Arabidopsis thaliana: one gene and its partner. The protein of the gene in region 2 interacts with the protein of the main gene of each other region in a pairwise test. Each region holds a gene or a part of one and is shown on either strand. Other genes may lie near its edges. The genes, in order: EMB3003 and ENA.

The links.
Region 1: the proteins of ENA (region 2) and EMB3003 interact in a two-hybrid assay, tested with the Arabidopsis thaliana proteins (one large-scale study listed by BioGRID).

The regions. Positions count from the first base shown.
Region 1 is NC_003070.9:12,587,954-12,591,876, forward strand, and holds the start of EMB3003 (2-oxoacid dehydrogenases acyltransferase family protein), read right to left. Parts: upstream 2,271-3,923; 5' UTR 2,132-2,270; coding exon 1,274-2,131; intron 1,043-1,273; coding exon 851-1,042; intron 760-850; coding exon 672-759; intron 570-671; coding exon 499-569; intron 383-498; coding exon 299-382; intron 179-298; coding exon 74-178; 3' UTR 1-73. Other genes in the region: AT1G34440 (uncharacterized protein), read right to left, coding at 3,395-3,474, 3,847-3,889. UniProt on the Arabidopsis thaliana protein: The pyruvate dehydrogenase complex catalyzes the overall conversion of pyruvate to acetyl-CoA and CO(2).
Region 2 is NC_003074.8:6,037,669-6,041,347, forward strand, and holds ENA (DnaJ/Hsp40 cysteine-rich domain superfamily protein), read left to right. Parts: upstream 1-1,739; 5' UTR 1,740-1,971; coding exon 1,972-2,106; intron 2,107-2,183; coding exon 2,184-2,280; intron 2,281-2,399; coding exon 2,400-2,454; coding exon of another isoform or gene 2,455-2,464; exon of another isoform or gene 2,465-2,535; coding exon 2,536-2,656; 3' UTR 2,657-2,965; downstream 2,966-3,679. Other genes in the region: AGD15 (ARF-GAP domain 15), read left to right, coding at 49-99, 191-249, 340-430, 513-567, 656-746, 842-1,043, 1,193-1,384; AT3G17670 (tetratricopeptide repeat (TPR)-containing protein), read left to right, coding at 3,189-3,593, 3,672-3,679.

The DNA of each region.
Region 1 (3,923 bases), on a different chromosome or scaffold from region 2:
ATTACCGCAGAAATACAAGCTCCCATGGAATCAAAAGCAGAGAAGACTGGGATGCGAAAAGCAGTAATTTGGCCTAGAATGTAAGGTCCTTTGGGTCCTCAATAATGCTTGCCAATGTTTGCAAGAACTGTGCAAGATCAGCACCATAGATGACACGATGATCTGCCGTCACATTCACCTGTGGGTTTGCAAGTGACCAGTCATCATTAACAAGTTCCCAGGAAAACTCGAGACGTTTTCATGAAGACAAAAAGGAGAAGAGGAACAAGTTCTAACGATGGTTGATAATAACATTTACCTGCATCTGGTTTTTCATGCCAATGCGGCCGTCTTTAGTTGCAACCACTGAAGGTTGAGATGCTCCGACAGCCATAATCGCTCCCTTCATTGATCAAAGACAAGAAAACCAATGAGCTGTTATCCTTAGCATAATTATTAGGCTAAAAGACATAACCAAGATACAAACTAAAATACACGCATAAAGGTAAAAGCACTAACTGTTCCAGGGGGTAGAATAGCATCAAACCGATCAACGCCAAACATTCCTAGGTTAGAGAGAGTGAAGGTACCTGCAATTACCCGGAAGGGAAATAAAAACAACAAGACTCAAACAATCTAGTTGAAGGATTACTCAAACTCAAATCACTTCAATATTCTAGTAGTAGGATTACCAGTGTTGTACTCCTGAGGCTGCAGCTGCTTGGCTCGAGCCTTATCAACCAATTCTTTCCATTTTCTAGATAACGAATAAATGTCAACCTGTTTACAAAAGATAGAACAACCCACTGATACCGGTTTTGAATACAGAGTAAACTCAAAATCTCTTATAAAGCATACAAAAGAAAAGAACCTTATCAGCGTTCTGAAGCACCGGAGTGATCAAACCACCATCAATAGCAACAGCAACAGCAACGTTGATGCTACTATTATACACAAAACTGTTACCATCTCTACAAGACGAGTTTACAACTGGATGTTTCGCCAGTGCAAGTGCAGTTGCCTTTGCTAAAAGTGCCGTCATTGTCACACCTTTCGACTTAATCTAAACAAACCAAACACAAAATGTGAACCAAATCAACATTTACACTTACAGTTTGTAACTAGTGTATGCTTCTGATGCACATCATAAGATACTATCATTTATAATTCAACTAGCTATCTCTCATAATCTCATCCCAAAGTTCAAAACTTCATCAAGCAACTATTATCACAATCAATGGAATCTCCAGTCTACTCTATCATACCAACCAAACGGATTTCAAAACACACTCACCTTCTTGTAGAGAGCATCAAGAGCATCCGTACTAATCGTGTAACCGACTCTAAAAGTAGGAACACCAAGACTCTCCACCATATTCCTACTCACAGCCCCCTGCATTGTCGTAAAAGGAACCACCGATCCCAACTCCACACCAGGAGCTGCCACTACCTCCTTAACAGCAACAGCAGCTTGAACTCCTCCTCCAGCAGCAACCGCCTCAACATCTTTAGCCACAATCCTTCCCATCGGTCCACTTCCAACTAAACCAGCCAATTCAACCTTCAACTCCTTAGCTAACTTCTTAGCATAAGGAGACGCCACAATCCTCTTCCCTCCTTCAGACGCCGGATGCACCGCAGACGCCGCCACCGCCTTAATGGACACCGGAGCAGCTGCAACCTTCTTCTCAACACTCACAGGTGCTTCAACTGCAGCCGTGGGAGGAGAAGCCGGAGGAGCCTTAGAATCACCACCACCACCACCACCAGAAGCTTTAGCTTTAGCATCAGCAATCTCATCTTCAGTTTCAGCTAACAAAGCAATAGCAGAACCAACAGGAGCAACACCACCTTCTTCAACCATGATTGCAGCTAGATAACCATCATAGAAAGTCTCAACATCCATATCAGCTTTATCAGATTCAACAACAACAACACTCTCTCCTTTGTTGAGTTTATCGCCTTCTGATTTAACCCAAGAGACGATTTTGCCTTCGGTCATCGTGGAACTTAGTGCAGGCATGAAGATTTCTCGGATCTTTGCTTGAATTGGGATGATTCTGGGCTTTACCCGGAAACCCGTAACGGAAGATCGTGTTTTTGTGGGGAGGGAAACTGAAGGTAAGAAGGGTGTTTGGAGAAGACGAGACATTTTTCGAATTTCGTTAATCGCAATGCGAGAGAGAGAGAGAGATAGAGAGAAATGAGATATAAGAAGAGTGAAGAAGCTCCTCGGAATTATCGAAGAGCAGGCGGAGTTTGCCAACTAATTTACCGGTGACGATCACTGTGTGACTCTTACTAGTGTATTGAAGGTGTGATACACGCGCGTTTTTGTTGTTGGGTATTGGGCTTTTTTCGAAGGCCCAATAGAGAACTATTCTGTAATCTTTTTAAAACCTTTAACCACATGTTAAGTTTTTTTACCATACACATTTTTCGCCCTGATTTTATAGTTTTTTACAGTTTTCATATAAGATTATCTCCAATGTAAATCTCTATTTTTCTCTGTAAAATAAAGCATGATTTCTCTCTTATGTATTATTTTATATGTTATTCTATTTTTAGAAGAAAATTTCATAAAAGAAAATTAAGGAGAAACTTATATTTTGTGTTTTAAAAAAATTTCGGTATACAAATTTGTTTGATGTTTGATCCATTATAAATATTGAATTTAAAGATAAATATAATTTTTAATATATTTCTTTGGTAAATGATAAATAATCTGGACAGTTGCAGAATATTAGTGTATAATACTTATAATATTATTTAGGGGTTATTGTCAAAAGAGGATGTTTTTTGATAAAAATTTTGATTTTGAGGCTTTTGTGTATGATCTTTGAAAAAGAGTAGTTTTGATAGGGCGATTTGATCATTTTACCCCTGAATAATCTCATCATCTTCTCTCATCATCTTCTTGCACGCTCCTCTTCTTTTAAATCCAATTTTTTTTCCAAATCTCATATTCTTAAAATCTATTCTAACTAAAAACATTCATTGATTCACAATAATTAAACCCTAAAGATGATAGTATTTATGAAACCAAAGCAAAAAATTAAACGAACGAAATGAAATCATCTTGCAAATGAAGAAGAAGGTGAATAGTAAAAACAGAGTTTCAGATTTGTGGCAGATCTGCAATCGAGTATTCGAAATCAAAGCTTTTCAATAATCATTTGCGTCCTCACTATTCACCATTAATGATATTTTGTTTATTGGAAGAGAATTCCATTCAAAAACTAAACCCTAATGATTATTGTAAAGGGAACCCAAGCAAAAAAAATCAAACGCACATTGATAAGTTTCTGAGATAGAATCTGATGATAAAGAGGAAGATCAGAGAAAAGAAAAAGAAACTGAGCCATCTCTCTCATGATTCACGGCCGCCGACGCCGTTCGTTACCATTGAAGGAGCTCATCTTAAGGGACAAAACCAATCAACTATCGTCACCGGAGCTAGCCCCGCTTCAATCACGTTGTAAAAAATCAATTGATCTGCAGAGAGAGAAAGAGATTTGATGGAAACGGAGACAGATCCAGTTGTTAATGGCGATGATGATGGCGTCGGTGGTTACGTTGGTGATGATGATGATGAGGGTTGATAACGACGACGACGACAACACAAAAAAGTCATACAATTTTTATTTGTTTTTGTGGTTTTTTAGACAAATAAGTCTATTATTTATGATTATTTATCGAATATCTAATAAAATGCCAAAAATTGTTTGCTTCAACGAATAATTTAGGAGTCCATTAATGAATAACATGACAATTTTGTTTTGGGCCGAAACCCACAAAACTTTCTTCAGATCATTTCACATATTGATTGATTTTTGTATTTTATTGAAAAGATAAATGTTTATTTACCTGAATAGATAATTCTAGAAGAAACCTTGTCTTTTCTTCTTCTCTAAACAAACACACACCAAAATAAAATCAAACGG
Region 2 (3,679 bases):
TTCAATTGCCTCTGTTTCTCTCTCATTCTCTGATTCATCTTCATCAGAATGAACAGGAAGGCCTCTGTTTCCAAGGAGCTCAACGCCAAGCATTCAAAGGTCCCATCTTTTTTTCTCCTCCTTTTCGATTTTTCACCATTGGTTTTGCGTCTGGAAAGTTGAAAGGTTAGAGATTTTGTGTGGGTTATAGATATTGGAAGCACTTTTGAAGCATCCAGACAATCGAGAATGTGCAGATTGTAGATCAAAGTAAGCATCTTGATAACATTATCTCTTTCATGATCATGTAAGAAAAACGATTTAGGAGCATTGTGTTGTTTGGATCTATCTATTTTACAGGGCACCAAGATGGGCAAGTGTGAACCTTGGGATATTCATTTGTATGCAATGTTCTGGAATCCATCGTAGCCTTGGCGTCCACATCTCTCAGGTCCCTAAATAATCTCTCTTTTAATTGATTGTGTTGTAAATGGATCATACAAATTAGGGATACTGATGAATTTTGGACACAGGTAAGGTCTATAACTCTGGATACATGGCTTCCAGATCAGGTTGCTTTCATGAAATGTAAGCTCCTCTTTTGTATATAATGAACACATTCAGTAGTTGAATTTTGTATCAATCCCATAGCTTGATCATCTTATTCTCGGTCTAGCTACCGGTAATGCTAAGGGAAATGAGTATTGGGAATCAGAATTGCCTCAACATTTCGAGAGAAGTTCAAGCGACACGTTTATAAGAGCCAAGTATTGATTCTTTTCTATGTTCGCTTTTGCTTCCTCATCTGCTACAACACAACTTTAGCTTGAATCTTTTTTTCTTCTGTTCGTGTGTGTTTTAGATACAGTGAGAAGAGATGGGTTTCACCGGGAGCGATTCAACCGGCTCCTATAGTTAGCCAGCTAAGCTGCAAAGTTAGTCACTTGGTAGAGAGTGGATATAAACCTGAAACTCCAAAGAAAGCTAGAACTCTTTCACTTGACGAAGAGATCCTTCTTCATCATGTTCTTCAAGTAACACCTCCAGAAACGAGAACTCGTGCGGTATGACAACAAATCTATATCTTTTTGGGTTCTGGTATGATCACTAGATTGGAAATTCATTCAGTTTCCTTGTTTGTCCTGTGGCAAGAATTAACAAAGCTTTTGTAGAAGGATTTTGAATCATTTCCATAAACTGTTGTGCAATGCAGGGTTCGGTAGATATGAAGGAGAATGTATATGTTGTACCTCTACCAGAATTCAAGAAACCAAATCAAAAGAATGAGAATTTCTCCAGTGAAGTAAACCAGAATAGAAGAACCACCATAGCACCACCGTCGAGCTGGGCTACTTTCGACTGTAAGGCCATGATTCAGGCTTTTCTTTTTTTTATCTTCTGTTAGTTTTGAGGTTTTGATTCTAAATCTCTAATGTGAAACAGGAAGAGAAAAGACTCTATGAAGACGAAGAAGATGGAGGTTTTGGAAAAACAAGAATCATCATGTGGGCTTTAATTTTAGTCAAAAGGTTGGCAAAGATGGGATGATGAACTCAAAGTTGGTTCTGTTTTCTAATTCTTTATTCATTCATAATCCAATTTTGGTTGCTTGTAACAAAATCATTTTTAATTCAATGGAAGAGAGACATCTTTGAGTATTTGACAAAAGAGAAAGCAAATACAAGTCACCAATGTGATTATTTTTAATTGCTGGACAAGTAACATCAATTGATTGGTCCACCATACTCCATAACAACCGTAATGATTTCAATAATCACTTTTGAGTTTGTGTTTTATTTGGTTTACACTTTACATAGGAAACGAATAAAATTAAATCAGACCTAAACACACTAACTCGGTCCGGTTTGGTTAATTTTCTTACGGGTTTATTGAGAGATGGGCCTTAGGCCCGAGAGAGAACACAAACTGGAATGAGGAAGAGGAACAGAACAGTTGTGGTGTGTTACGAGTTACGACTGAAGAGTGACGGAGATGGCGGTGAACGCGTGTCTATCTCCGCCGGAGATGATGGCTGTCCGGCCAGGGGAAGGCGTTCCGAATTCAAAATCTACGCAGGGAAAAACTAGGCTCTATCTCACCAAACCTTCATGGATAGTCAGAACTCAGGTCTGAAACCAAAAACCCCCAATTTCTATCTCTAGACTCTTGATATCATTAATAAGAATGAATTCAATGGTTAACAGTCTGGAGCTAAGACGTGTATGAAGTCGAAGGCGAAAGGACGATGCGTAATCTGCCATGGAAGTGGAAGAGTCGATTGTTTCAATTGTTGTGGGAAAGGTAAAGATAAATAACTTCTCTCTCTGGTTCTCAACTTTAAATGTCTCTTATGATTGATTTCTTCGTATTAACTACTTCAGAGAATTGAATTCTTGCTTTTTTGTGATATATGATTGAAGGGAGGACTAATTGTGTGGATGTGGAAATGCTTCCAAGAGGAGAATGGCCTAAATGGTATTCTTGAGGCTTTTATATCTGTTATTTGATTCAAGAACTAAAGGAGTTCAAAATTTTTTTTGGTTGTTTTGGTCACAGGTGCAAGAGTTGTGGAGGGAGTGGATTAAGTGACTGTTCTCGCTGTCTTGGCACCGGAGAGTACAGATACATCATGGGTTTCCGCTTCTTAAACCAAAACGATGATGCCGATCCACAATAATGATTTGGAGAAACTCTTAACGATCATGTCCTTGCCAGTTTTTGTATATGTCCAATGAGGAGGCTTAAGACTTGTTTAGTAATGTTGTATATGGTTGCTCCTGACTTGTTAATATTGTTTGTAATCTTCAAGGATGTTGTTGCAAGTAAAGAGAAATCACCAGTCTACAAGTTCTTTAGGAAGATAAATGAAACGTAGCCACCGTTAGTTTTATATTCTTAAGCTTACATTGCAAAATTGTTGTATCTTGGCTTTGTACTTACTAATGGTATATTTGGATTCTTTAGTATAATGGGAAGGTTCTGAGTCAAAATTTTAGTTATGAGCTGTCTAATTTGATTAAGAATTAGTCTAGTGATGTTTTATCTTCGGCTTTGAGTGTGAAACGAAGCAAAATGGGAGCTGATTAGAGTGTACAATTGTGATATCCGGTTTAGTCAAACCGGATTTAATACATTTTAATTTGATTATCTCGGTTTATTTAGTCAGGCGCGCATCTTTCTTCTTCTTGTGGTTCGATATTCTTATCGTTATGTCTTCCGTCGCTTTGCCGGCGATGAGCTGCCGGAGCTCAGGTGAACAAGTGAAGGAGATTCGCGTTTGTACGAATCGCACCTGCCGAAGACAAGGCTCCTTCCAGATTCTCGAGACTTTAACAGCTCTCGCACCTCCCGAACTCCGAGTCACTCACTGCGCTTGCCTCGGCCGATGCGGCTCCGGTCCAAACCTCGTGGCTCTCCCTCAAGGTCTCATCCTACGTCACTGCGCCACGCCTTCTCGAGCTGCTGAAATTTTGTTCAGCCTATGTGGTGACGGTCGTGAAGCTTCTTCATCCTCCGCCGTCACAGACGCTCTCACGGCTTTAGCGTTAACCAACAATGCTCTCTCTCAAATCGATGCGGGAAATTTCTCTGAAGCCGAAGCACTTCTCACTCAGGTCTGTAGACTTACGAATTTGTCTCAATTTCTTCTCCATTTTTATGGAGCTTGACCATGGATGTGTCTATGATTGCAGGCTTTAGA